Pelodiscus sinensis: one gene and its partners. The protein of the gene in region 2 interacts with the protein of the main gene of each other region in a biochemical or structural test. Links are inferred from orthologs where the notes say so. Each region holds a gene or a part of one and is shown on either strand. Other genes may lie near its edges. The genes, in order: MYB, CREBBP, TDG and CREB1.

What was found.
Region 1: the proteins of CREBBP (region 2) and MYB form a complex in vitro, tested with the Homo sapiens proteins (6 studies listed by BioGRID, with this or other methods). The link is inferred for Pelodiscus sinensis from reciprocal best matches to the Homo sapiens genes CREBBP and MYB.
Region 3: the proteins of CREBBP (region 2) and TDG form a complex in vitro, tested with the Homo sapiens proteins (2 studies listed by BioGRID, with this or other methods). The link is inferred for Pelodiscus sinensis from reciprocal best matches to the Homo sapiens genes CREBBP and TDG.
Region 4: the proteins of CREBBP (region 2) and CREB1 form a complex in vitro, tested with the Homo sapiens proteins (15 studies listed by BioGRID, with this or other methods). The link is inferred for Pelodiscus sinensis from reciprocal best matches to the Homo sapiens genes CREBBP and CREB1.

Annotation. Positions count from the first base shown.
Region 1 is NC_134713.1:96,421,663-96,428,909, forward strand, and holds the start of MYB (transcriptional activator Myb), read left to right. Parts: upstream 1-4,241; 5' UTR 4,242-4,418; coding exon 4,419-4,574; intron 4,575-6,045; coding exon 6,046-6,117; intron 6,118-6,827; coding exon 6,828-6,920; intron 6,921-7,247. UniProt on the Homo sapiens protein: Transcriptional activator; DNA-binding protein that specifically recognize the sequence 5'-YAAC[GT]G-3'. Plays an important role in the control of proliferation and differentiation of hematopoietic progenitor cells.
Region 2 is NC_134726.1:3,552,945-3,560,008, reverse strand, and holds the start of CREBBP (CREB-binding protein), read right to left. Parts: upstream 3,015-7,064; 5' UTR 2,301-3,014; coding exon 2,216-2,300; intron 1-2,215. UniProt on the Homo sapiens protein: Acetylates histones, giving a specific tag for transcriptional activation. Mediates acetylation of histone H3 at 'Lys-18' and 'Lys-27' (H3K18ac and H3K27ac, respectively).
Region 3 is NC_134711.1:98,313,302-98,320,625, reverse strand, and holds the start of TDG (G/T mismatch-specific thymine DNA glycosylase), read left to right. Parts: upstream 1-4,312; 5' UTR 4,313-4,361; coding exon 4,362-4,471; intron 4,472-5,643; exon of another isoform or gene 5,644-5,833; coding exon of another isoform or gene 5,834-5,856; intron 5,857-6,066; exon of another isoform or gene 6,067-6,367; intron 6,368-7,324. Other genes in the region: UQCC6 (ubiquinol-cytochrome c reductase complex assembly factor 6), read right to left, coding at 2,315-2,410, 3,581-3,688. UniProt on the Homo sapiens protein: DNA glycosylase that plays a key role in active DNA demethylation: specifically recognizes and binds 5-formylcytosine (5fC) and 5-carboxylcytosine (5caC) in the context of CpG sites and mediates their excision through base-excision repair (BER) to install an unmethylated cytosine.
Region 4 is NC_134717.1:75,871,908-75,879,856, reverse strand, and holds the start of CREB1 (cyclic AMP-responsive element-binding protein 1), read right to left. Parts: upstream 3,003-7,949; 5' UTR 2,798-3,002; intron 1-2,797.

The DNA of each region.
Region 1 (7,247 bases), on a different chromosome or scaffold from region 2:
GAGTGTCCAAGAAAGCCCTTTGTTTGATGGCATCTCTGTTTACAGAGTTTACTCTTTAATCTCAACCTGTTTCCTCCTCCTCCTCCTGCTGCTGCTGCGGCTCCTGAAAACTTCGCTGTGCGGCGGTGGAGCACTTTTAAGCAGCACAGAAAGCAAAGCACTTCAGCCAGCACAGGTCCCCCCTTCCTTTCCCAGTGGCTAGTCCGAGGATGGCCAGGAGACCCAGGCACAGGTAAACTCTTTGCATGTGGCGTGTTTGTACGTATGTTTAACAGCCTATGGATAGTGCGAGTGGGGATTTGGGGAGGGGGTGTTTGGGGGTTGTTTGGTTGCTTTGGTTAAGTTTTGCAGGAGTGGTTTGCTAGAGCCTTCCCACGCCTGTCAGACTGCACAGGGAAGTGGAGATGGAAACCTAAACAGACCTTGCAAGACCAAATGAATAACGTATTAGGAATTCCTTTCTTCCTTCTGTGCTACCCCGCACTCCCTTCCAAAAAGGCTCAGGAGATTGGGAAGATTGCATTTTGCAGTGCATCTTGCAAGTTGCTCAGACAGAAATCTCCCAGGGCCGTGCGTGGCACGCGTGGTTACACATTAGAAAAAAAAATGGGCACAAGATTCCCACTTGGACTTGTTGCCTTTAACGATCTGTGCCGAGCTGCTCTGCGGTCTGTTCGGGCTGGAGGAGCTAAGCAGATGGCAGATGTAAGCCCCAAAAATGTCGGACTTGTTTAGTGGCTGCAGGTAGTTTTCATTCCCGTTTCATTCATTCTTTGTGGAGGTGGGATGTCAGGTGGGTGGCAGACAGGCGGCGTGAAAAGCAGGCACTGGGGAGGGAGCAAAGTTCCCCCCCCCCCTCAGTTGCAGAGCCTTTCTTTTAATGACTCCAACCCTGCCCCGCTCACCTCTCGGGTTATAATTATGCCCTGCAAGGCTTTTATTTTTAATGCACACGCCGCTCTGCACATGTCGGAGCCCGAGCAAGCTTTTTAGCAGCACGCTGAGAGCAACTTAGACTTTGGCAGGAGGGGGGTGGGGTGAGGAGGGAAGAAGGAGACAGGCGTTTGGCAGGAGCTGTCATGTGGCCGGGAGCAGGCCCGTTCCTCCTGTTGGGGAATGGGCTTTTGCATAGGGCAAGGGGGGGACCCCAAGTTGTGCTATGGTGGCTGGGTGTGTGCGCCGAGGGTGACTGAATCCTGTGCTGCTCCCTTCCCTCTGGGGGTGGCGTGCTGCACACTGGAAGGGAGAGGTCTGAGCGCCTCGTGGTGGCTGCTGTTACAGACACAGCGCAGGATTGTTTTCCAATTATCTCTGGACTGGCGGTCGGACACGTGGAGAGTCTCGTTCTCCTTTCGGTCCAGCACCCCCTCCCGCCTCCTGGGCTTGGGTCAGAAAAGTAAATCCCCCCTCCGCGGTTCTCCCCCTCTTGTTGCCGATCGCTGGCTTTTGAAAAGGCTTAAATTACCCAGTGTGTGAAATCTAGAAGGAGGCTCGGGCTGGGGGCTCCGTGCAAAGTAGGTTGTTACTTGAGAATGAGAGCGAGTGTGTTACTAGGACGGACGGGCTATGAATTACTCATCCTGTCCCTCCAGAGAGAGAGAGGACACAGTCTGTCTCCGCCTCGCTTGTCTCTTTGGGGCTAGCCGGGAGGTGGAGTGGGGGTGAGCGAGCCTAGTGGGTAGTCTGTATTTTCTTTTGACTTTGCAGAGCGGCAGAATGAGCCTGTCAGGAGTGGTGGAGGAAGCCAGGCCTGAAAACGAAAGGGTCAGTTGCGTTTTACAGGAACTGAATGAGCGGGAGAGACGGGAGGAAAGTGGAGTTGCTTAGCAGCTTTCAGAATGGTCCTTGCTAGCCAGGTGGTTTGTGTTCACAGAGGGCTGCGGAGCAGCAGATACCTTCCCTCTGGTTGCATAGGGAATGTGCTCGTGAAAGAAGGGAAACTCTAGACTGCAACGCTTAAGCGGCTTCGTGGAGTGCTCTGCAAGGAGAAATCGGCAAGGTGGATCAGTCAAAACAACGAAAGTGGATTCCCCTGGGTTGTTTGTGCCTACTTTCTTCAATCACAGTAACAGCAGCAAGTCATTTCCTCTCCACCGCCCCCCCCTTTTTATCATTGCACAATTTGGTTTCCTTGACCAAAAATGTAGCATTCATATTTGTAGAGTACTTAAACGGCACAGAAAGCCAGCATGTGGGGGCATCATTAACCCTTTCACTGACTTAGTCCATTTCACTGGTAACTGGCAAGTACATTTGTTGTTGGAGTCAGATTTTGTTTAGGCAGATGTTCAGAAATTTTTCAGACATCTGCTAGAAACCAGATTTGCAAAATATGGTGCAGAAGGTGCTATACAACCCCTCCCCTCTTATTCTTCTGCCACAAAAGACACAGAGTGTGAGTTATTCATTCTTTATGTCACTATGAGGTCATTCCGAGGTAAAGAAGGAATTTAGATCATAAGCATTACCTTAAAATAATATTAAAATTTTCATTGCTAATATTCTACTACAATTTCACTTATGCCATGTGCCATTGATGAACCTAGAACATTTGGCAGCACTGGTAAATGTCACCCTGCTGGTTATACCTGGTACTTTCAATATCAGTGATACCAATTTTCAGATGATACCTGGTGATTTAGCTACATAACTTCCTTTAACATCAGCAGCAATCACACAGTTGTCTTCATGTGTCACGTAGAAATCTGACTTTAAAAAAATAACAGCAAAGAACTAGAGTTACAGCTGTCACTCTGTACATATGAATAGGACTCTATAACCTTTACTCATATAAGTAGTCATACTGGAGTCAGTGATAGAGATGCATCCATGTTAGTCTGGTCTAGCTGAAACAAGAGACAGAACTATGTAGCACTTTAAAGACTAACAAGATGGTTTATTAGGTGATGAGCTTTCGTGGGCCAGACCCACTTCCTCAGTGAGACTACTACTGTACTGTGAAGAACTACTCTTTTGAGCTGCAGGATTGGGCTGAGTTGAAGTCACTAGCAGTGCCTAAATATTCCATAAGTCTTTGTGAGTTAATTATCTTGTCACATGGTCCTCTCTACCTAGACATAGTGTTAATTAATTAAGAATGGAATTATTGTTTTGTCAGTTTGTTAGCTGCTTGGGACTTGCTCTCAAATAGGCCACATGCATCACTGGAGATGCTGAAAAACCTCTTAAGTAGCAATTTTCTTTGATAGGCAACATGTGCTAGAAGACATAGCTGAAGACTTAGTGATATTTTAATCTAATATATCAAAAGTTTAAGCTTTTTGATACATTAAAATTAAAGCAATCTGAAAATCAAGATTAACAGGACGACTAGTGCCTGGTCTATTGTTAATGGAAGTGTTAGTGTGGATTATTTAATAAGGCTGTTTACCACAAAAGGTTTTTGAAATTGTATCTAAAGTTTTCTTCCATATGTCACAGCCATTAATCAAATATTATATTGTTTTTTCTATAGTACTGGAGATGTCATCTCTTTGTTGAAGTTTCAAAAGTGATGTTTATATCTTGGAGTTGGAAAAGCTACATTACCCAACAGAAAGACAACTCCTATTGCAAAACACTTCAGTTTTAGCTAGCAGGATAGAGTGATTGCTGTTTGTGAAAACAGCAGTAGATTTCTTTTTACCCATACATAGCCTCTGGGGAAATCCCTCAGTCATGAATTAGGTGAGGACTAGAATATTTCAGAAACAGTATGGAGTATTCAGAAATGGGATAAAGGTAATAAAGCTATAAAGTTAGCAAAATACTCTATATAAGATGATCATTCATATGATTACTATGGAAATCTTATATTGTACTTGACCTCAGCTTTGTCTGTATCAACCATGAACTGTGGCACATATGATAAGAATTTATTTACAAAATAGTGTGATCACTTGATGGCCTTCTTTTTAATTAGTGTTGAAAAACCTGTGCCCTTCAATATTTTGGTCTTCTAATCCCAAAATCATGACTAAATATATTATTGAATAATTTTTCTATTTTTCTATTTGTATATAAAATACCAAATATACAGATTTGAGTAAGTACTCAAAATGTATAGAACATGTTAAAGATTTTGCTTCTGCACTTGTGAAAAGGACATAGCCTCTTGTTCTCTCTATTGTTCTAAACACTGTATTTTAATTTGAAACTTTCATTGGTTGAAAGACTGCCAAGTGTGTAAGTTGCCACTGATCTAACAGTACGAGCAGGTCTAAACATGTACAGTAATAAGAAGGTTGCCAGCCCTTTGCTTGTATCTGTGGATACCAAAAACAGCAGAACCAGTTCAGAATAGTAGAACAGAATGCAGAACAAAATCTCGTTGTGCAAGTTTTCAAACTTTTATCTGTATAACCTTTGTGAAGATTGTTGTTTTTCATATATTTTGTAATTCAGTAACTTAAATCTTCATGTTCCAGTCTAAGTCATCTCATGTTTCTTTTTGCAGTATATATAGTAGTGATGATGACGATGAAGATGTTGAGATGTATGATCATGACTACGATGGTCTGCTTCCAAAGGCTGGAAAACGTCATTTAGGAAAAACCAGGTGGACCCGTGAAGAGGTAAGAAAAGGTTCACTTACTACATTTGGGTTAAAAAGAGAGAAAATTGATCACATTCTTCTCTCGTGCAGATTTAATTAGTTATCAACTTCAGGATGAATCTTATGTATATGTATGAGGGAAGAACTTGATTATATACATAAAATTAGATGTATCTTTGAAGGTTATTATTTTTTTTAAAAAAGTTTAAATACTGATCCTTGACTCCAGCAAGATTGTTTGCAATACAGGTGTTAAAACTATGCATTAGTTAAAACTAATTTTAAAATTACCTGTAGCAATGTTTGATTGTTACTGCTGGCCCTTTTTGTTTGAAAATGGTTGCTATGTAAGAAATGACGTCTAGTCACTATCTTGACAGCTGCAAACAATTATGGTGCAAACTTTTGCACTCCTCTTAAAGGGGTCAGTTGCAGTTTGTACTTTAATACTGGGATTGTGATTCCAAGAGGCAATATCTAATATCTGGAAGAAACAATTATTCAGCACCACAAACGGACATTAAACATGTCCCTTTTGAAAGACTAAGTATAAGAGTATGCATTGGTAGCTTTTAGTCATTGTGCTCTTTTGTCTATTTTCTGTGTAAATTATCATGTTAAAGAGATCATTTATTGGGGTGGATAATCCATCGTCATTTATTGTGGTTTAATTTTTTTGTGTGAAATGTGTTAATTCAGTTGTTTGAATGATACGTGGTTTTGTTCAACACCAGTGATTCACACTGATATATAAACAGTAGGCCACTTATTCTAAGATTTTTTAAAAGCTCAAATTGTTATTATAGTACCTTTACCATTCTTGATGTTTGAATTGGCTGGTTTTAGTCTTTAAGGCCTAAATTACTGGATCTTCCATTAAGGATAATGGGCCATGTTCTCTGCTGGTGAAAATATTCAGAACTCTTTTGAAGTAAATGGAGCTTCACTCATTTAGGCGTTTTGCCCATTTATACCAGCAGTAAATATGGCAAATTACTTGTGCATTCAGTATAGAATCGTGTGAGGTATCATGATTAACATTGCATTTAAAATCTTTAAAGATTTTTGAAGACAGCCTAAGAAATTATGACACCTGAACTCTATTGAATTTCAGTGGACATTGGACACCTAATTCCTTTAGACTTGTTTGAAAATCCCTGTCCAAAAATAGTAATTTATATTGCCTTGGCTGATAAAGTGCAGATCAGCATAATTTGCATAGTCAAGAAGCCCAAATAATATATTTAAGTTCCTTCCCATAACTGAATAAAAAAAAAATCTACCTAATGAGGAGATGCATTTGGCAAGAAAAAAACCATAATCAGGCCAGAGACTACTCTTTTATGTCAGTACTGGATCCCTGAAAGAAGAGGATACAAATTCAGCAGCATGGAATGTTTTCTTTTTTTTAACCTCAGCTTGACTGATATATTTTATTTGCATTACTAAGTGATTCGAGCATTGATAATGTTTTCTTTATAAAAAACTAGGATGAAAAACTAAAGAAACTCGTGGAACAGAATGGTACAGAAGACTGGAAAGTTATTGCCAATTTCCTTCCTGTAAGTGGACATTGTTTCTCTTTTCATTTGTAGAAATGACAACTGCTTCACCCATTTTTAAGTAAGGGAAGATGTGAGACATTATTTCTTAACTATGTTTTCATGTCATATACAGCTCTCTCCCCCCATGATTGGGAACTTGAGAAACACAGCTATAATACAGTAGAATGCCTTGTTGAATACCTTATCTTTTATGCTCTATTTTTATTTCTTTCACTACTCATCTCAGATAAGGGAGGAGAAATGTAAAGAATTTTTGGGGGATTTGTTATAGAGCAGATGGTTGATCTGCCAGTGAAACAAAAATTTCTCAGTCCAGGGAAAAAACTCTAGTTGTGATCAAAAGTAAATGCTACTTATGATATATCTTTTGTGATCTCTTACTGTTCAAAATCAATAGATAAAGATAAATTTAAAAGAATAAGTGTTATGTTAATAGATGTCAAAGGATAAGTATGTTTGGTTGCCATAATACAGTGACAGTTATGGAAGTAGGCTTTTCTAGTTCAATGTGCAGAATACTTACTATCCATTTCTCAGGACCCCCATTTCAATCTTGTCTCAGTCATGCCCTTGCAGTTTAATTGTATTAACTGGCAATGAGATACTTGGAGGGTCTGTTTGGGAAGCAAGTGCATCTAGGAAGAAATATCACAATTCGTTTATCTTATTTGAGAAGGGATTAATTTGTATATTTTATGTGCATTCAGAATCGGACGGATGTGCAGTGCCAGCATCGATGGCAGAAAGTACTAAATCCTGAACTTATCAAAGGTCCTTGGACTAAAGAAGAGGATCAGCGGGTAATCAACTTTTCCTTCTGCTTAACCATAGGCCCAATACTGCAGTCATAACTGGGATAAAATTCATCTAGACTTCAATAACTTCAGTGGGAGTACTACCTGAGGAAGGACTTGAAGACTGGCCCCAGTAATATCAATACTTTATATAATGCTTCCTGGTACAGTTTCAAAGTACTCCACACAGATCCAGTAATAATACTTATAACATTGTACATTTAAATGGATACTAGAAATGCCTTATATTACCAAAGCCTTTTCCTTTGTGTAAATATAGAAATAGAAAATATGAAACAGTGCCTACACATCAGCTCTACTACAGCGGTTTTG
Region 2 (7,064 bases):
AAAATTATGCAACAAGAAACTCGGAGGATTTGATAAAACACACACACACGGATCCTACTGGTTAGGCAGATAAATGAAAACCCTTTCCCATGGATATTTTACTCATTAGCTTAGTTATAGGGATGAAACCTGACAATTAGTATTGGTAGTAACTAGCTTTGATTAGCATACTGTGTTGCTGGTGTAAGAACATAATCACTTTAGTCATCTAGCTAATACTGATTTATGATATACACAAGGCTTTACTTTTATCAATATATTTTGATTTTGTATTATTAAAATGCTAACTCAATGTATAATTTCAAAATTTACAGAACTATCACATTCATAAAAAAGTTCACAAGACTTAACTTCAATCATGCAAACATTACTCCAATACACAAATGAAGATTTGCCTCAAATAATTCTTACATCACTCTCGAATAATTTGAAAGAACATTCTACATCTTATCTCAACAAAAAATGTTTTTACTGGAATGATTCAAGCTAAGAAGTAATATTTATCAAGAAAACGGATTGAGTAAACCTACTCACTACTACAAAAAACAGCATGTGAAAGGGAAACAAGGGAAAACTTAGTGTTTTCATTAAATATATAGTCCAATCCTCCACTGAGACTACTCACAATAGTAAAATTAAGCATGTGTGTAAGCATTTGCATGACTGAAACCTTAATCATCATTCAACAGTACAATATGCAGCCTGCTGTTGCACGTGGCTCACATCTATCAATCTGAGAAACTGGTCAAAGGCAACATTTATGGTTGACACACAACTTTGTTATTAATCAAGAAGAGACAAGATCCCATTTTAGGTTCAGCATTTTGACTAATACTCTACTTTGGAACCCTAACAATTTGTATTGCCTTCTATATGTCAGATACAGTACTTACTCTGACAGTGTCATTTTTCATTGACTGAGGCCCTAGCCTCACAAATACTTTTGCACAGGCTTAACTGTATCTATCCTACAGATTTTGTTGAGTTCCTTGAGACTACCCAAAATGCATAAGTTTGCAAAACTGAGTTTCTCTCAAATTAAAACTTCCAAAAATAACACCTTCAAAAGTCAGTTTCAAATCTTTTACCTACTACTGTAGCAACCTAAAGTGACTATTTGAAAGATTACAAACAGTTATTTTGATTAACAGGGCATTTCACAGCATTGTGTCTACTGCCATTCACTCTCAACTCCAGTCAGTTCCAAAAAGAGTTAAAATGGCTGAGTACTACACCTGACAGGTCTTTTGGCAATTACTGTACAATCATCCCCCCCCCCCCCCCCCCCCCCGCTCATCTCTTCCCCACCTATTATGTGAAAGATGGCTATAAGACACACTGCTGTCAAGTTTATTATATGTAAACATTACGAGACTAGTGGGGATGTTTTCATGTATACAAGAAAACTGAAATGTGTAACAAGGCACGTACATATTTAGGAAAATTCTCAGAGCAGACAATCTACCATTTGTTAAACCTAGTTTTTGGGTTACGACCAGGGTTATGAATGACAATGATGAAAGCGAAGGTGAAAGCGATCGCACACACAAACGTGCACAAAAGAAAAGTGTACACTGCCTAGAAGAATATTTGTCAAATTTCCTTCCTTAAGTCTATAAAATCCTCTCCCCCCCCCCCCAAAAAAAAAGCCTCTCTTGCCCAACGCCAAAACTTTTGAAAGCAGTTACTGTAATGGAAAAATGCCTACTTCTCGAAAGCACTTCACACTGCTCATTCACACATTTATGAACAGACAAGGAGCTATTCCAGCGCACTAGGTAACTCTGCGGTCTTGTCAAAGTTACACACGCATAGGCTACGCACGAAGGAATCTGTCTACACGCACCTGGGAAACCAAAACGCCTTTGAAGAGGCTGCCCCACTCCGAGAGAAATGTACCAATGCTGAAGCTCTCTCTTTCATTTACACTTATTTCTAAAGCACAAGCCAGCGCCAGGTGAGCCCCTCGCTTTCGCCAGGTCGTGCTACGCCCTAGAGCCTTCCCCGGTGGAGCTCTAAGGTGGAGGGCTGAAGTTACACGCCGGGTCCGAGCCACGGAGCGCAGCTGGCAGGCTGGGGAGTCAGCTGCAGGCTGCTGCACTCTGGTCAGCTGGCGGGGGCGGGGTCCCGGCGAAGTGCGAGTGGCCCCGGCCGGGTGGCTCCCCTGGCAGGGGCTGCCCCCGGGGAAGCGGCGCTGCCCGCGCGGTGCCCTCACCTGTGCTGTCGCTGGCGGAGAAGCCCGGCGAGTTGAGCTTGGCTCGCTTGGGGTTGGGCGGCCCGTCCAGTAAGTTCTCCGCCATGGTAGCCGGCTCGGCGGTGCCAGCCCCGGGGCCGCCCGGTCCTGCGCGCCCGGCCGCGGGCAGCCGCCAGCAGACTCCGCGCCGCGCGCCCGGGGGAACAGCGCCGCTCAGTGCTCGGCCGGCGGCGGCCCCCGCTGCCCCATGCCCGGGCCGGGCCGCCGCCGCAGCAGGCCGCAGGGAGGAGGGCTCGGGGCGGGGTGGGGAGAGAGCCCAGCGCCCCCCCGCCTGGCTCGCTCCTCCCGGCCGCTCCCCCGCCCTCCCCGCCGCGCGAGGAGGTGCCCGGATGGCGGCTCAGTCAGTCAGGCACTCAGGGAGCATAGCGCCCCCCCACCCCGCTCCTCCGCGCCGCGTCCCCGCCCTCCCCGCCGAGCGGGGGGCTCGCCCCGGCCCCGCGCCGGGCCCCGCGCCCGGGCCCGCGACCCCCGCCCGCCCGCAGCCGCCGCCGCCGGCGGGGACAACAATGAGCGCGGCGCAGCGAGCGCGGCGGCCACTGCGCCCGGTCCCGGCGGCGGCGCCCGGCTCGCCCCCTCCCGGCCGGCGCTGCCCCGCTGGCCGAGCCCGTCTGGCCCTCCGCGGCGCTCCGTGCGGCTGCCCGTGCCCCGGCGGGCGGCCCCGCTGCCCTGGCCCGGCCCGGCCCGGCCCCGCTCCCGCCCGCGCCGCGCTCCGGCTCCGCGACAAGATGGCGGCTGTTGATTCCTCAATTAAAAAAAAAAGTTTTTTTTTCTCTTCTCTTTTCCAGGGACCATGGGGGCGGGGCGGGGGCGGGGCCGGCGTGCTGCGTCACCGCGCAGGGGGGCACGCCCCGTCCCGGAAAGAGGCGAGCCCTGCCGGAAAGCGCCGAGCTGCCCTGGAGCTCCTGGCTGGGGGAGGAGAGGATGCAAACCTATGTAAATGAGCGTGCACAGTAATCCCGCCCCTCTGGCTCCTGCTCAATTACCCCTTTGGAGCCACCTCGGAGGGGCACCTCTGCTGTCCCTAACCCCATCCCACTAGGGCAACAGCCTCCACCAAGCAGCCACACCACTCCCATGCTACTCCCTGCCCTGCCCACCTGGCCCCATGCTCTGTGCCCCCCTTCTGCAGCACCAGTGCAACGGGGCAGCACCCACCCCACTGTTCCGCCAGTGCAGAGCACTCCTGCCTGCCCTGCCATTGTGCCTCACAGCAGTGCACCCCCTCCCAGGGATCATAGCACCGGGCTGACAGGGTGCATCACCCACCAGCATTTACAGAGAGTACCAAGCTGGACTTTTGTTGCCTTGGCCTCTGCACCATGCTGCTCCCCAATAATACTAGTGCAACAGTCTGCAACACTCCCCACGCTGCCTTCTCGTTGCCCTATCTGTCCATACCCTTCACTTGCTGCTTCCTTGCAGATCCATGGTGGGCAACCTGCGGCCCATCAGGGCTCTGCGTGCAACCCGGGAGTCATTTTGTTTACCCTTGTCCATGATTGCCAGTGTCTGCTGGTTTCCTTCCACATAGTTTTCTTTCCTACCATTATCACTTAAGTGACACACACACATAGAGCAAGGGCACATGGAGGGAGGTGCGTGCTGATTGCACACAACACAGACTGTGAGAGCCGTGCGCCCCCTCTGCATCCAATCCAAGCACTGCTATTGTTCAATCAGCATACCCCTCAGAAGTTAGCAAAGCCACCCTGACCAAGGAGACCGTCTTGGTTACCACAATCTTGCATCTGATAAAGAGGGTCTTTGCCCACTAAAGCTTATGCTCCAATAAATCTGTTAGTCTACAAGGTGCCACAGGACTTCTCGTTGTTTTGACAATCTTCCAGACCACTGAGATTATGGAGGACCACTAATACAGCCCACTCACTAGCCTAGGTTGCCCATGGCTGCAGTAGATCCAAATTTCTTGCACCCAGGCGGCGTCCCTTCGTCACCCGTCCCTGATCTCATTGACAGGGCTGGCTCCAGGCACCAGCAAACCAAGCAGGTGTTTGGGGTGGCACATTGACAGAGGTGGCATTCTGGCTGGCAGGAGGAGCAGGGCAGCAGGGAGCCCTGCGGAGGCCGCCCTGAGCTGGGAACCCTGCACTCTGCTGCTCGGAGCCTGCACCTGGCCCCAGAGCTCTGGGAGGGTGGGGCGCTGGGAGGACGGAGCACCTAGCCCCAGCACAGGGCAGCCGCAGCTGGTGACGCTAAGCCTGGCGGGGCAGGCCACGGCCATGGTGGCTGCTCCCGGCAGCCAACTCACTGGACCAGAGTTCAGGGGCTCGGCGGGCACTGGAGCTCAGCCGCGGCGGGGCCCCAACTCCCAAGCAGGGAGCCTTGTGTCTGGCTGCTCGGAGGCTGCACCTGGCCCCGGAGCTCTGGGAGCTTTGCGTGGGCAGCCCTGGGTACTTCCTGAGAGGGGGCTGCGGCTGATGAGGCTGGGCCTGAGGGCCTCTTCTTTGCCTTCGTGAGTGCACACCCGCCCCCGGCCGGCAATCCCTGCTCCCGTGCACCCTTCCCACCACTCCCCCTCTCCCACCCCTCCGGCCTGTGTTCTCTCCCCCACAGCTCTCCTGCCTGTGAACCCCCCTTGACTGGCTGTCCCCCTGCCCACTATCCTGTGACCCCCCCTCCCTCCCACTTCCTCCCCCCTCTCTTCTCCTCCTAGCCCCCTGCAATCCTGCTGGGATCCCGTCTCTTCTCCCCCCTCCCCCCGCCTGGATCCCCATCCCCTGTCTGGCTCTCTAAACATTCCCCCCCTCCCTCCCCTCCCCCACACACCTGCCCAGGAACCCAGCCCCCTTGTGCTGTGTCCTGACAACCTCACCCCTGGCTGGGACCCAGGTGATTCTCCCTCTCCCTTTGTCTAAGGAAGGGGAACTCTGGTGCTCACAGTGCCTGTGTCCCCAAGTCCCTCCCTGAACAGAAAAAGGGGGGGCGGCCAAAAAATTTTTTGCTTGGGGCGGCAAAAAACCTAGAGCCGGCTCTGCTCATTGATGAAAAATAGCGCACAACCTGCCTACACAACGGCACCCAAATCTCTTAGCAACATTCCCCCATACCCCCTTAATGCTGACCTGTATCTCTCATGCTGTCTTTTCCATAATGCCCTTTGTGGTGTCCGTACCTTCCCACACAACAAGCCTGTGTCCCCTCCATTACTTCTCTATGATGTCCACCCACAGCCCCCATGCTGCCACCCTGTGGTTCCTAAATGTCTAAGTGATGCTCTCCACCCACATGTACCCAATCCCTGCAGAACCCAGACCTCCACACAACACTTGCCCACATGACTATCATGCAGCTTCCCCGCATTTTTCAGCCTCACACTGGCATCCTATAGCATGTGCACACCCCCAGACATCGTCCCCAAAACACAAACCTATCGGTGCACTCCTTTGCTGCCTTCATGCAATGTATGCACACCCATCACAAAATAATATAATACTCGTGATACATAAAGCTCATGATGCCATCTACATTTTTGTTAGTCTCTAAGGTGCTGCAAGACTATTTGTTGTTTTTTAAGTTTTTCCAGTTACGAACTAACATAGCTACCCCTCTGAAACATAAGAACGGCCATGCTAGGTCAGACCAAAGGTCCATCTAGACCAGTATCCTGTCTTCCAACAGTGGCCAATGCCAGGTGTCTTAGAGGAATGAACAGAAACAGGTAATCATCAAGTGATCTCTCTCCTGTCATCCATTTCCAGCTCCTGATAAACAGAGATACCATTCCTACCCATTCTGGCTAATAAGCAGGGCTCAACAATTAGGGCAATCTACTCGCCTGTGGCGAGTAGATTTTAGCCCAGCATGGCGCCGCAGCGCGATCTGTGCATGCGCAGCGCGGTCTGTGCATGCACAGCGTGCCAAACCGCGCAGCTGGCGAGCAGGGCTCGCCGCCGCTTGTCAAGCCCTGCTAATAAATATTGATGGACCTAACTTTCATTAATTTACCTACTTCTTTTTTAACCCTGTTCAAGTCCTGGTCTTCACAACATCCAATATGCACTTCCCCTTTGCATATTAACAAAAATACATCTCAAGACACAGTTCCTCCCCCAGACAGCTTTGCAATCTAATTTTAAGAAAAGAAATACATGGAGGAAGGAAGGAAGAAGGATTTGGCAGCTAGGAGAGACATTGCTTGTCAGAAGTGATACGGGGCTGCAGAACTCTCAACTTTTTTAATGACTTTTTCTATTTTTCAAATGCTCAATCAGTGAAACTTGGACCCTGGCTTGGGTCAATCCTTACCTAGAGTTTTCTCACTTCCCACATCTGTGTTCAATGATCTTGGAAACAAAGGGTTTACCAGAATCTATAGCAGTTCACAGCATCCTTCCTCCAGTTCCGAACCAATATATTCTGGTTCACAAGAGGATGATAAACCTTGCGTTGTTACTAGGATATGGATTTGCAGTGGTAGTGGGTAACCCACTGGGGTATGTGTGTTACAGGTCCTGCTCTGTTCCAAGCTGCAGAGGATATGAGTTGTTACAGCCCGTTGCTCTAAAGCTTTGGCTGTAGCAGCTTGTGCTTTTAGCTTTAAGGGACCATGGTTCGAGCCCTGGTGTTTTAGCAAAGATGGTGGCTATCGCTGTGGCATAGTAGCTCCGGACTGTTCTGACATAGTTCCGTGAACATATTTCTCTCGAGTACAGAAGCAGTTAGAAAACGAATGGGCTGTTTGGATACATTGTGAAAAAGACAGCAAACTGTAAAAACAATGAGGAGTCCTATGGCAAAAGACTAACACCTTTATTTGGGCATAAGCTTTCGTGGGTTGGAACCCACTTCA
Region 3 (7,324 bases), on a different chromosome or scaffold from region 2:
CAGCGCTGCACAGAGCCCAGGGTCAGTTGGGGACTCCAACTGATCCCAGGCTCCCACTGCGCTCTGCCCCTTAGAAATGCCCTGGCAGCGTTTCAAAGGGGCAGCACCACGGAAACACCTGCGATTAACGCATGTTAAAAAAATTAATGCGTCAACTGTGCTCTGCGTTAATCGCAGGCTTTAATGCGTGTTAATTGACAGCCCTTGTTAGGTACAAGAATTAAGAATTAATTATCATAAACAAACATTGTAAGAAACCTTGGTAATTTGCATCATGCCTTGACTTAACTGCTGAGCCCTATGTCTGATTATTGCATGCAAGACTGTATTGTGTATGTGTAGTACACAATTACAACATTGATTTGGCTACACCTGAGTGGTTAACTGTTGGTTGTATACTGTGGAAACAGGACTAGGGGAGAGGGGATTTGTGTGTCCATTTCAGGGTTTGTCAGTAGCAGAGCAAGAGTCTGGTTCATTCTGACTCTTGCTAACGCGAGAGCTAGGAGAGACGTTGTGTTCGCCTCTCTGCCTCGCTCTCCAAGATAAGAATGGAATGCTGACCTCAGTGAGAAGATAAGACCGTATCCTATGGGAATTGAGTGGGCAGGGAAGTAATTGTTTGATGTTATATGTAACAGAAAGGTATATATGTTGGGTTTTAATTGTTTTGTATTTGAAGATCTGCTTATGCTGTCTTCCCTTGCAATATTGCTCGAATAAATTGCCTCTGGCTACTTGTTGCTTACAAACGCAGAGTGAGGACAATGTTTTCTTCCACAATACTAATTTGGTTCTGAGTGGAATAATAAAATATTGATCAGCTAAGAATGTGCAAATGTCCTGATCAATGTTCCTTATAATTATTTCCATATATGTGCAGAATAAATTAAATAAATTGCATGCACCAGGGCATATATGGATGTGCACCACCAGTAGAAACACATGCTGCTGGTTGTGTGCATACTGGGTGCTCTGCTAATCAGCTGGGCAGCATTTGAATCTCTCCTGAGAAGCTGCCTCAATGCTCAGCATACAGGGAACACTGATTCTGATTTATAATACTGATCAAGTTAAAAGTTCATCTGAAAAGAACCCAGCATTAATGCTAATGACCTAACATTCACTGGACTCAGAAAAAGTTTATTATTAAATTCCATTCTATATTGGCTGGAACACTTATTCAGTTGACAAACCTAGTTTGGTAGATTTCAGCAAGTTAATAAAAAAATAACCTCCTTTCATGCTTACATAATTGGGCAGAAAGGAGAACTAGGATATATTGTGATCCTTTACCGCCAGTCATCAGGGCTTAGTATTACTACCGACTTTAGGACAAGGTATGCCCAGGGCCGGATTAAGGCGGGGCTAGCCGGTCAGCTGCTTAGGGCACCAACCTACGAGAGGCACCTTATGATAGTTGTAAGAGGCGCTGCGTGCCCAGCCGCACGGCACCCCTTAGAGCTGTCATCAGGCGCTGCGTACCCGATTGCAGCTGTAAGGGGCGCAGTGCACCGGGAGTGCGGCCACGCATGCACCATGCGCCCAGGGGCGGAGCCGGCATGCGTCACGTGCCCACTGCCCGGGGCGCAGGAATGGCTCGAGCTGGCCCTGGGTATACCTACTGATTCATTTACCTCTTAAAGAAATAGAAGACAGTAGCAGTAAGAGATTTTGAAGAGGATCACACAGATTTCAGGCATGAACTCCATGCTTTATCAGACGTGTCAGAGGGGGTAAGAAATCACACCCATTAGAATATTTGTTATAATTAAATATATATGACTTATTAGTGTAAGGTTTGCTAAAAATGATATTTGGTCTTGGATATTCACAATAGCACAATGTAAAACATTTTAGGACACCTTCATTTAAGTAAGCTTTTTATTCTGTCTTTTATACTCATTAAATCCTCTTAGTGCTTTTATTTTCAGTCTCTTCTCATCTTTACATTTTGTGATAGATTTAAAGCAGCCCATTCTGAGATATTCCAATGTTCAACAGTAAATAAATAAATCTTTCTCCCTCAAAAAACCGTATTTTTGTTTTCAATAGAATATAAGAGTTTTAATAAACAACTGACTGGATTTCTGATAATTGTATAAGGAATACTGTTTATTTCTTACAAACAAGTTGTTTTGTTTTAAATAAATATTAAGATAGATTTATTTCATATATGGACTTCAGGTACAATTTTCAGAAGTGCAAAAGTCTCAACGGCTTGAGTCCCTAAATTAAGCAAATGAGACTCAGGACCCTAAGTTATTTAGGCCCTTCTGAAAATTCTACCCTTCATGATTTCAGTAGTCTCTGGTCATTGCTGTGAGGTATGAACTTTGCTCTGTCTTTGTTTTAGACCCAAGAGTTCTGTTTTCAGTTCTCCAGGCTTAGGTGGAATTTCAGGTATAGTCTATAAAATAAATAAAACAAAGTGGTGTTAATGCTCAAAATCTGTGACTGAGGTACAGAAAACTGAACAACCAGAAAATTAGAGACAAAAAAGAACACTACATTCAAGTTACAGTTTGATTTCACCCCCTCGTCCCCAACTCCTGCCCTGCGGCCTGACCTCCTTATACCTGGATTCTACGATCCTGCCAAACCATGGATATTGCCAGATCACAGAGTCCTGGTTAAGGGAGGTACAACTTGTAGTAGATTATGTGAGTGTATAAATAGGCAAAACCATGCTATTTTCTACTCTGTTTTCTGAAACAAAGGAATATTGTGGGAACAGGGAATGTTTCCCAATGTAAAAGACAAAAGTAAGAGAAAAGGTTGTAAATGCTAAGAGCTTGGAAAAATATGAAAGCCAAAATCAAGCTATACGAATATCAAACCATTGTGATACTTTTTCCAAGATCTGACTTTATATGTATTTTCACTCCTTGAATTTCCAGACAAAGTGAACTACAAATCTCTACTAAAACTGCAGCATTTCACCTGGTGTAGGATTGAATCCACAAAAATTTCACGCTTTCCATCCAAATCGTATGTTGATCTAACTTTGCCCAAAAGATCACTTCTGAGCTTTAGATCTTAATAAAACAAGTTAACATTTTCCTGGTTCTGTGACTATTTCTTTTAAAAACAGAGGCTTATTATGTACTCTCTGGTCCTTCCTCAGCACACAATGCAGCTGGTCACTACTCAATCTGCTTCCGAACCAATCTGACTCAGATTTAATAGGGAGGGGAAAAAAACACCTTGAATGAATTACTAATTTAGGATTCTAGCTCTTCTAGTCTAGAGCAGAAAATAATCTTATAATCCCAAAGTAAAGTTATTTTACATTATCAATAACCTGGTATTTCTTTTAACTTCCGTTTCTTCAAAACTGAAGAAAAATCCTGAGACGAGGCAAATGTGTGAAACTGCTAGAAAGTCATGTGCCCTTTTTCCTTATTATTGGAATGACAAACGAACATATCAACCTTTTGATATAGAAGTGTTTTGGTATTTTTGACCTAATGTCTTTTGTACACTGAACAGTTTTCCTAGCGAAGAAATGTCAAAACACATATTATTATTTAGCAGTTATAATAAATGAAATAAGAAATCAAAGCCTTAAATCACTTACAAGATCAGGTCTGTAATATCTATGCACTATTTCTGCACCTGCAAACATAGCCAATGTGCTCGCACTGATCATTTTCAAGTATTGAGACCAAGATACCCCAGCAGGCATGATGAAATGCAGTCTGCACTTAAAATTCGAGAACTCCAGCTGTCTGAGGAAAAGAAAAATTAGAAAAAAAGTTGCAATAATTAGTATGCCAACTAGCCCATGCTGAAATACAATCCACCCTGTTGGTATCTGTTAACAAGAACCTCTACATTTAATTAAATCACATCCACCTTCGGTAGGAAAAAGAGATGGGGGAGAGGAAGAAATTTGCAATAATGGAAGTTAATTTTAAAAAGTTTAAAAGTAGGTAAAGAAAATGTAAAGTGTTCAAATCACTTCAACATACTACAGAGGTAACAGTGCTCCCCGTGGACATCAGCCGGAAGAATTATTTGTCTACCCCCCCAAGGGCAACTTCAGCTCTGCTACACGTATCAATTATAATTTGCGGGTGACTGAGGCATGGGAAATGCACCAACTTGCATTCATCAAAACTCTACATTAGTTTGATCACCTGTATGTACCCTGCCCAGGACACTGAATCTGGGGAGGAAGCCCCAAATACCACGACCCGGAGACACAACTTAGGCCAGCCCGTCCCCCTGCAGGAAAGGAGGAGCCCCCCCCGCTCTCAGCAAATCATGTGATTCAGGGCTTGGCTGTCATCTCTCACGTGACTATACTAGCTGCTACGGAACTACGTCTCTTGCCAGATTGCCTCTGCTTCCCCCAAATGGGAGATCCTAGGGAGCTGCTGCTGCAAGGTTCCCTTCCAAACTGGCTGGGGAGAGAGGATGCTGCGGTGACTTGGGAGGTTCCCTCACTGTTTCCTTGTTTGGCTCAGTAAGTGTGTGTTCATTCATATCCCTGAGAGTCTAATACATCTCTCAGAGACTTTCTGCGTTATTCTGAATTCCCTACAGTGGCCTAATAAGGCTTAGTCCACTGTAGCAACCACCCTGCGCTAAGATTAGCATTGACTGAGCGATTACATTATCAACACAATAATACTGTACTAACAGAATAGTAACTCCTCTAGCACTAATAACTAGTTATGTTCACTATCCGGGAACAGTCTAGGAATTCCTGACTTGCCAAGGTTTAGGGTGTTTGGTGTTTTTCATTTGTTGTCCCCAGTTCTTGGCATTGTGTGGTTATGTGAAAATCTCAGTTGTTGTTTTTAAAAGTTTCAAGCCCTCATGATTGTGGAGAGAAAGCTTAGAAATGTGACAATTAGAGGTTCAAAGATAAGAGGGCAAATAAATATTTTATGTCAGTCTCATATCTGGGGCCTGATTCGTGACTTTTGAAACTTTGTGATAGCAGTACTTAGTCTGTGGTAACGCTGATTGCCTTGTAAGAATATAGAACCCATTCCTGTAAACATTTACATGTCGTCTTAACTTTATACAGGTGAGATATGATCTAGAAAGGCACTTTTGCATGTGCTTAACTTGAAGCCCAAGTAGCCTTGTTGGCTTCAATGGGCCTACTCATATGCATACAGAAAGGCATGCACGAAAGTGTTTTGCATGATCAGAGCCGCAGCAGCCGTTTGAAAATATATTAGGGCCTCTGCTGAGTGTTAAGAACCATTACTGTGGAATAATAATACAGTGGCATTTTCTATTAATGCCTTTGGAATCTCTTGTAAGTTGCGATAGACTAGCAATTGAATTTCTTCTCTTGCCTTGTGTTATTTTAGTTTTCGGGCATGCACGGGCACTGGTGTGCACAAAGCAGTCAGGAGTAAGGGCAGGTTAGCTGGAGTGTCTGGCACACACGGATCGCGTTCTGTCTTGACTCTCCCCCGATAGCTTCAGAACAACATAGGCGCTGTGGTGTTTCCTTATGATCAGTGGGAATCGGGCCGGGGGGGGGGGACTAGAGCCATGGAACAATCCCATCCCGGCGCGTGCCAGGCGCTCTGGGTCAGTCTGGCTGCCAGTCAGTCATCCCACAGGCCCATGGTGCTGGGCGCAGAGAAGCCCCGCCCCCTTCCCCTCTCCTTCCTCCTCCCCCTCCCGTCTCTGAGGCCTTCTCCCCCACCCCCGCAAGGTTCGCGGCCCGCTGTGGAGCCTGCTCCTGATTGGCTGCCGTCCACCCCGCGTGACCGCTCGCCCAGCAGGCCGGTCGGCGCTCGCGGTGCGTGAGGCGGAAGAAGGGGGGGGGGGGAGGAGGAGTTCGCGCTCTTGGCGGCCGGGGATGGAAGCCGAGAGGCCGGGCAGGTACGCGGGGCAGCCGGGCCTAGGCGCCCCCCCCGCCCCCGCCTCTGCGGCCGGGCTGGTGCGCGCGGGGCCTGGGCAGCCGCGGGCCCGGTGGGCGGGGCGGGGCAGCAGGGGGCTGTGTCCGGGAGGGGCGGGCTGGTGTGAGTGTCTGCTCGGGGTGTGCCGAGCGGGGAGCTGTCTGTGTGCGGGGGGGGGGGCGCCCACACCTGGGGGTTGTATTGAGCAGAGACTCGATGTTGGGAGGGTCTGTGTGAAGCTGTGGGGAAGCATCTCTGGACTAGGAGTCCCTGCCGGCTTCTATACTGGCGACAGGAGCGTCTCCGCTGTCACTGGCCGGTGCTTGGGACAGTGCTGCGTAAAGATACTAACTAGGGTGCACAGTGGCTAACTGCCTAAAAGCACCTGGGCATCTGTAACACTGGTAATCCCCGAGTGCCCCACGCACTCTGTATGCGTTACAGAGTAAAGTAATTTGATGGAAGCTTACGCAATTCGGAGTTGGCAAAGTCAGGTAGGTAGTTCTTGATTGTATGCAGTGTTGTTCTAGCCATGCTGGTCCCAGATAGAAGGTAGAAAGATAATATCTTTTACTCAACCAATTTCTGTTGGGGTGAGAGAGAGAGAGAGAGAGGAAAAACTTTGGAGCTCACTCAGAGGTCGTCTTCAGGTCACAGAGCTCTGTAAGTTTGAAAGCTTGTCTCTCTCTTTTACCGGCTGAAGTTGGCCCAATAAAAGACAGTGAGAGGAGAGGAGGGATAGCTCAGTGGTTTGAGCATGGGCTTGCTGAACCCAGGGTTGTGAGTTTAATCCTGGAGGGAGCCATTTAGTGATCTGGGGCAAATCAGTCAGAGATGGTCCTGCTGTGAAGGCAGGGGACTGGACTTGATGATCTTTCAAGGCCCTTCGAGCTCTATGAGATAGGTATATCACCATATATTATTATTAATCAATTAATTCTAAGGCATGGTCTACACTAGGTTAAGCTGCCTTCTACTGACCTAACTTTGTGTCTATATTAAGGATGTTAAAGACTAGTCGATTATCCAATAAGCAAATGCTTCTCTGATAGTCAGTTGACTACTCAATCCCTTCCCCCCCTTGCTGCCTCTATTAGAGGTAGCAAAGCGGGGGAGAGAAAGGATACTTCAAAGGGAGGCACCACACAGCTGATCCCGGCTCAGCTGTGCAGCGCTGCCCCTTTGAAATGCCAAGGCAGTGTTTCAAAGTGGCAGCACCACCAGGAGCCTGGGGTCAGCTGGAGACTCCCCAACTGATTCCAGGCTCCGTGCTGTGTTTCCACAGAACCCACAGTCAGCTGGGGAGTCCCCCCGCTGACTCCAGGCTCCATGAGAGTGCTTCCACTTTGAAATGCACAAGAGCCCTTCCTTAGGTAGCCCTTAGCATTTAGGTTGATATAGTTAGGGCAATGCAGCGCCTTTGGGCATGCTGCATTACATTGCCATTGGTT
Region 4 (7,949 bases), on a different chromosome or scaffold from region 2:
ACCACTGGTTAAGTTAACTGATTTCCTCCTCCCCCCACTGAAGTTTTAATTTCTTATACTGGGCGAATCTAGCCATCGACCCAGACACACTGGGTTGCTAGCATGAGTTTATATATTTAAAAAAAAAAAGTTTTGGAGGGAAGAGATAAGCCACACAAACTTCATAAAAACCACATAATTTTTAAAGTTTTAAACCTACTATAGGATTCACAAAGGTGCTGGAATCCTACTCTACTTTTTAACATGGGCATGGGCCTCCAAACTAGTTCTGGGGCATTGGAAAAGCAGCTCCAGGATGGAAGCTGATAAATCGGGAGGGCCATGTTCCCACCAACTGCCTCCCCTCACTCCCACTCCTGGCTCCAGCACCACTGTATGTATCATTAATCCCAAAAAATTGAAAACATTGTGCCTTTAAATTAGATGAAAAGACTGTGCAAGATGCAGAATCCTAGAAGTTGAAGGAAGGAAGTGTACAACAGCAAGTGGAAAAACAAAACAAAAATTAAGAATTTCTAGTATGGATACTGAAGCTGCAGGGAATAAAAAACTAGAATGGCAATGATGGGGGTAAGATACCTAAAATATTTTTCAGAATTGTGTAATGTGGTATATATATCAAATATAAAACAGGATAATGGAATAATACAGTTTTAGTACAGGTGCAACCCAACTATCATTGTGTCTGCAGCATTCTCATTTAAGAAACCTGCAGGTTAGTTGCAAGACTGACCACTGTATCAAAATTTCCTACAGTTACACTTATGGGGAAATTCATTTTTAGTATTGAAGTATTAACAAGATTACATCTTCCTACTGCTACATACCAGGAGTAGGGTGCAGAGATCTGTATCTTGATTATTAGCTTCTCTGCACTATTTCAATTGAACTGCCATGAAAAGCAATGCTTTGGGAGACCTGGACAGTTTCTTCTGAACATGTGCATACCCCATTTTAAAAAGAGCCCATCAAATCAAGTCTGCCCCAGAATAAACTCTTGAAAAGCTTTTATTGGAAACCCCCCCCCCTCCCCCCGCCACTAGTCCTGTAACAAACTAAAATACTACATACGTTTCTACATAGTTTAGTTACAATTCCTTTAACCAGATATTACCGGACCAGTACCATATCAGTCAGAAAATGAAATCGACGATAAATGAGTGAAACTAGGTAGGCTGTGTATTATCCAAATAGAATGGAATAAGCATAAAGAGAAGGAGCTTTTCAAATTCAGTTTTAATCCAAGATACTTGTGCAATACATGACAGTGTGTGTTAACAGAGCTGACCCTTAAGACAGGGCTGTCTGCCGCAGCACTTGGTATGCTTCAGGGAATAAAGATACACCTTTCGAGAGGTCTGTCTGACACGAATTAAAACATCGCCCCGCTCCGGGAGCTGTGACTGCGGGGGCGGCCCACTCTGGAGGGCAGGGGGAGAGAACCGCTGCGGGCCAGCTGGCCATCGGGGCGGGAATCAGGAGGAAGCGCGATTCGCGGCGCGGCGGGCTGGGAGGGCACCGAGCCGCGGCGGGGCCGGGATTAGCGGGGGCGCGGGAGCCCGGCCCGGGTTTCAGAGGCGGCGAGGGGCCGGAGCGGGCTGTGCGGCGGGGCCGGGATTGGCGGGGGCCCGGCCCGGGTTTCGGAGGCGGCGAGGGGCCGGAGCGGGCTGTGCGGCGGGGCCGGGATTAGCGGGGGCGCGGAGCCCGGCCCGGGTTTCAGAGGCGGCGAGGGGCCGGAGCGGGCTGTGCGGCGGGGCCGGGATTAGCGGGGGCGCGGAGCCCGGCCCGGGTTTCGGAGGCGGCGAGGGGCCGGAGCGGGCTGTGCGGCGGGGCCGGGATTAGCGGGGGCGCGGAGCCCGGCCCGGGTTTCGGAGGCGGCGAGGGGCCGGAGCGGGCTGTGCGGCGGGGCCGGGATTGGCGGGAGCCCGGCCCGGGTTTCAGAGGCGGCGAGGGGCCGGAGCGGGCTGTGCGGCGGGGCCGGGATTGGCGGGAGCCCGGCCCGGGTTTCGGAGGCGGCGAGGGGCCGGAGCGGGCTGTGCGGCGGGGCCGGGATTGGCGGGAGCCCGGCCCGGGTTTCGGAGGCGGCGAGGGGCCGGAGCGGGCTGTGCGGCGGGGCCGGGATTGGCGGGAGCCCGGCCCGGGTTTCGGAGGCGGCGAGGGGCCGGAGCGGGCTGTGCGGCGGGGCCGGGATTAGCGGGGGCGCGGAGCCCGGCCCGGGTTTCGGAGGCGGCGAGGGGCCGGAGCGGGCTGTGCGGCGGGGCCGGGATTGGCGGGAGCCCGGCCCGGGTTTCAGAGGCGGCGAGGGGCCGGAGCGGGCTGTGCGGCGGGGCCGGGATTAGCGGGGGCGCGGAGCCCGGCCCGGGTTTCGGAGGCGGCGAGGGGCCGGAGCGGGCTGTGCGGCGGGGCCGGGATTGGCGGGGGCGCGGAGCCCGGCCCGGGTTTCGGAGGCGGCGAGGGGCCGGAGCGGGCTCCGCGGCGGGGAAGGACCAGCCTGAGTGGGGGCAGCCCGGGCCAGGGGCACCAGACACGCTGCCCGGACAGCGGCTGCCGGGCTCTCCGGAGGGTCCCTGCGGCCCAGGCGGGGCCCGGCGCCGAGCTGGCAGCCAGAGCGGTCCCGCCGCCATTGCTCTTTGTTCGCCGCGCTCGGAGCGGCGGCGGCGGGGATGTTGCAGGGCTCGGCGCGGCTCCATCTTTAAAGCGGGCGCCCCTCCCGCTGGCGGTGCAGGCCGGGCCGCCTGTTGCTCCCTGCGCCCCGCCGGCTCCATCCCCCCCCGGCTGGGCGCCGTCCTCCTCTTACCGGTTACGGGCTGCTCCGTCACTGCTCTCGCTGCGCCTAGGCTCTCGCCGCAGTTTTATTCTCTCCCCCACGTAACACACCGCGTCAAACTACACCTCGGCCGCGTCACTCACACGGCTCCCCCAGCCCGGCGACAGGCAGCGGCCGACTGAGCGCCAGCCGGGGAGCGAGCGCGAGCGCGCCGCGGCCCCTCGCGGAAACTGCCGAGCGCGAGCGGACAGGGCCGAACACGCGGCGGGCACGGAAACAGCCGAGCGGCAGCGGACAAGGCCGAACACGCGGCGGGCACGGAAACAGCCGAGCGGCAGCGGAAAAGACCGAACCGCCGACCGGCTGCGGGGGTGCTCGACCAGGCACGGAAACACCCGAGCGGGAGCGGAAAAGGCCGAACACGCGGCGGTCACGGAAAGGGCCGAGCGGGAGCGGAAAAGGCCGAACCGCCGACCGGCTGCGGGGGTGCCCGACCAGGCACGGAAACAGCCGAGCGGCAGCGGAAAAGGCCGAACCGCCGACCGGCTGCGGGGGTGCCCGACCAGGCACGGAAACAGCCGAGCGGGAGCGGAAAAGGCCGAACCGCCGACCGGGCGGTTCCAGCGGATGAGAGGCTGGAGATGAGTCAGTGCCCTGTAGCCAAGAGGGCGAATGGCAGATTCGGGTGTGTGATGGGTTTGCCGGTGCAAGCCCCCCTCTCGGAGGAGTGCCCTTGGCAGCTTCTCCTCGGACTGGTGATAAATGCCGGCAATGGAGATGGATGGAGCTGTAGCACTTAGAGTTGCTAACCCACACTCCTGAGCTATAGACGTGCGGACCATTGTCCCGATTTTTCCACGACAGTCCCAAATTTAAATGCTCTGCCCCGGCTCCCCATGAAGTAGTGAAATGCCCTGGAAAGCCCTGCCAGACATTTCACTGCTCGGTGGGACACCAGCGTGCGGGAAGAAGCTCTGCCCCCTCCCATTGCTCCTCACGCGCACCGCAGCCTCCTTCCCCTTCCCCCAACAGGGCCGTAGGGCAGCTGGGCCAGCTTCCAGGAATGGGAGGCCCCTCCCTCGCTGCCCTCCCTCCCCACGCAGAACCGCCTGGTGGCCCCACCGCCTTCTCTTCTGGACTGCCTTGGAGCCCTGGTCTGGTGGCCCCACCGCCTTCTCTTCTGGACTGCCTTGGAGCCCTGGTCTGGTGGCCCCACCGCCTTCTCTTCTGGACTGCCTTGGAGCCCTGGTCTGGTGGCCCCACCGCCTTCTCTTCTGGACTGCCTTGGAGTCCTGGTCTGGTGGCCCCACCGCCTTCTCTTCTGGACTGCCTTGGAGCCCTGGTCTGGTGGCCCCACCGCCTTCTCTTCTGGACTGCCTTGGAGCCCTGGTCTGGTGGCCCCACCGCCTTCTCTTCTGGACTGCCTTGGAGTCCTGGTCTGGTGGCCCCACCGCCTTCTCTTCTGGACTGCCTTGGAGCCCTGGTCTGGTGGCCCCACCGCCTTCTCTTCTGGACTGCCTTGGAGCCCTGGTCTGGTGGCCCCACCGCCTTCTCTTCTGGACTGCCTTGGAGCCCTGGTCTGGTGGCCCCACCGCCTTCTCTTCTGGACTGCCTTGGAGTCCTGGTCTGGTGGCCCCACCGCCTTCTCTTCTGGACTGCCTTGGAGCCCTGGTCTGGTGGCCCCACCGCCTTCTCTTCTGGACTGCCTTGGAGCCCTGGTCTGGTGGCCCCACCGCCTTCTCTTCTGGACTGCCTTGGAGTCCTGGTCTGGTGGCCCCACCGCCTTCTCTTCTGGACTGCCTTGGAGCCCTGGTCTGGTGGCCCCACCGCCTTCTCTTCTGGACTGCCTTGGAGCCCTGGTCTGGTGGCCCCACCGCCTTCTCTTCTGGACTGCCTTGGAGCCCTGGTCTGGTGGCCCCACCGCCTTCTCTTCTGGACTGCCTTGGAGCCCTGGTCTGGTGGCCCCACCGCCTTCTCTTCTGGACTGCCTTGGAGTCCTGGTCTGGTGGCCCCACCGCCTTCTCTTCTGGACTGCCTTGGAGCCCTGGTCTGGTGGCCCCACCGCCTTCTCTTCTGGACTGCCTTGGAGCCCTGGTCTGGTGGCCCCACCGCCTTCTCTTCTGGACTGCCTTGGAGCCCTGGTCTGGTGGCCCCACCGCCTTCTCTTCTGGACTGCCTTGGAGCCCTGGTCTGGTGGCCCCACCGCCTTCTCTTCTGGACTGCCTTGGAGCCCTGGTCTGGTGGCCCCACCGCCTTCTCTTCTGGACTGCCTTGGAGTCCTGGTCTGGTGGCCCCACCGCCTTCTCTTCTGGACTGCCTTGGAGCCCTGGTCTGGTGGCCCCACCGCCTTCTCTTCTGGACTGCCTTGGAGCCCTGTGCGGAGCCCTGCTGGGGCTCTTTGGGGCAGGGCGCACTCAGGCCCGGCAGGTTTCAGGACTGGAGCGGAGGCTGCCTACCATGCTATTTTTAGTACTGCGGTCTGGGTCCCTGCAGGCAGCCCGGGCTCCATCTGCAATCAAGTGGCAGCCGCATGAGGCATGTTCCAGCTGGGGCAGCCTCACCAGAACGGGCCTTATTCAGCTGTCGCTTGACTCCGGCTGGGGGAGGGCCCGCGGTAATAAAAATAGCACTCCAGCCCCGCAAACTGCTTTCCACATGGAAGGCAGGTGAGGAGAGGGGCTGGGGGAGACTAAGGGGAAGGTGGGAGTGAGGAGAGGAAGGGGTCAGGGACGGAGAAGAAAGGGGCAGGCACCAAGAGGCAGGGTGGAGGAGAGACAAATGCCAGGGGGCCAAGAGGAGACAATGAGGAAAAGGGTGGGAGGGAAGGTGTCAGTGAGGGTGGAAGAAGGGATGGGACAGAGTGATTCTGGGAGAGGGGTAGGACAATGGGGGCAAGAAGGAGTATGGAGAGGGCAGGAGTGGGTGCTAGGAGAAGGAGTTGAAAGGCGTGGGCATGAGGCAGTCAGGGGATGAAGCAAGTCGTGTGAGGACACGGGGTGTGAGGAGAACTGGGGCAAAGGGTGGTGGGGGCATGGTCCCCAGGGAGAAAGAGGCCAAGGAGGGCAGGGTCAGTGAGGGAAGGTCACCCGGGAGGGTGCAGGGGTAAGGGAAGGTGCAGGTGCCAGGGGATTCTGGGGATGAAGCAGAAGGGCAGATACTGGAGGGGAGGGTCGGGCACCAGAGGAGAGAAGAGAGAGGCAGGGCAGGTGGGTAGAGGAAGTGTTAGGAGAGGGGATGAGGAGGGGTAGTTAGAGATGATCAGAGTGGGGCTAGAGGAGGAGTGGGCACAAGGGGAAGAGAAGGGCTGGTGCAGGGGAGAGGGGCAGGTCGCAGGAAGGCTGAGGGGGGTGAGAAGGGCAGGAGCCAGGACAGCAGAGGAGAGTGAGGGGTGGGGGGCAGCAGCACCAGGGGAGCAGATGTGGGGGGAGGGTAGGAGGCATGGCAGCAGAGGGAAAAGGGAGAGGTTTATAAGATATTTATTAATAACTTGGGTGCCACCGTGGCACATCTGAACAAGCCACATGAACTCAGTGCTGGTGCACAAGACAAAATTCACTCTGCTCATGGGAGGAAACTCTTAGAGGGAACACTTCTCTTAGCTTCTCCCCCGAGTGAATCCAATGCAAACTGGGTTAGTGCCATTGCAGGATAGTTGCATGTGGGGGTCCTGTGGGGGCCGAACTTGTTCCTATTGGTACGAGGATGGTGGGAGGAGTTCTTAGAGGGGTCACACGGCACCCTTTACTTCTGGTCACGTGTCCATCTTGACCCCGAGTGTTACCTCCAGAGGCCTGGCTAATGGGGGTCAGAGGTGTGGTTAACAGGGGTCAGGGCGTGTGGCTAATGTGTCCCTAATTTTGGTTCAGAAAATATGGTCACCATACTTATTGTCCCATTCTCCTCAATAGGTCAGGCTTTCTGGTTGGGCTACATTTCCCATGTTGCACTGTAAAATGCCCATGTTAGTGAGAGGAAGCAGTACCTTATTGCCCCCGGGAAAACATTTTTGGGTTTTGATTTTTCATGAAAAGCTTGACATTTCCTGTGGAAAGCAGACACTTTTCCATGAGTGACAACTGAACTGCTGGCTACGGGAGGCTAGCCCCCAGCTCTAGCCCTTCCACATAAGACCCTGTCCCTTCTGTGACCTTGGAACTCAAGTCCTGCCCGCCCCACATTTTCCAGCTTCTGCTCCAGGCTGGGAGTATGCACAGTGCTGCTGCAGCCCCTGTCCCATGCAGCCCTAGGTGGGTGGGTAGCATGACACCAGACCTAGAGCCCAGAAGCTCAGCCAAAGTGGGAGCCTAAGGGTTCAGTGTGGACGGGCCTATGCCTGGCTGATTGGAGAGGCATAGCTTCCCCCAGCCTCCTCTACCCACTGCCCAAGCCTTTTTCATGAAAACAGCCATAGAATTGGAAACACAACTTTCCACCCCCCTTTAAAAGAGATTAAATGGAAAATGTTTGGCCAGCTGTCACAGTAATTCATTTTGCATTCAGGTTGGATTGCTATAATGTCTATGTAAAGTCTAGACTGCAACTCAGCTTACTTTCTTAGGCTTCTTGGTAAACTCCAGTTAAGAAAATCCTGCAAGAGAATGGAATCACATTCAACTAAAAATACACATCAGCACAATTTCTTCTGTGGATTAGGGTTGCCAGATGGTGTCAACAAAAGTACCGGACACGCTTGACATTACATCACAATCTACATTACATCTTATTTAGAAAATACCGGACATTTCTATTTTCTCATTGATATTTTCTCAATTTATTTCCCAAACAGAAAGCTCAAATACTGCACTGACCGGTTCAAAACTGGACACCTGGCAACCCTATTGTGAATACTTTGGAGAAACTGGAGGTGGTGGAAAGAGGACTTAACCCACAGTTAGGGTTGCCAGATGGTTGAAACAAAAATATCGAAACCCCCCTCCCTCCCCAAAAAAAACCAAACACCTGGAAAAAATTCTGTTGAAGGAAAAAAAGAAGGTGGGGGGAGACCAAAGTTGTTGAGCAACAAGAACAAGTTGGGAGCCAGGGGGGGCTCAGGGAGGGGGGGAGGCTGGGCCCTGAGTGTTTGTAGGTTGCCAGGTGCCCAGCATTTTCGCCTCCTGACTGGGGAAAAAATCAGAAAGTATTAGACATTTTAGGTGTCCGGTATTCTCTGCATTTTTTTACT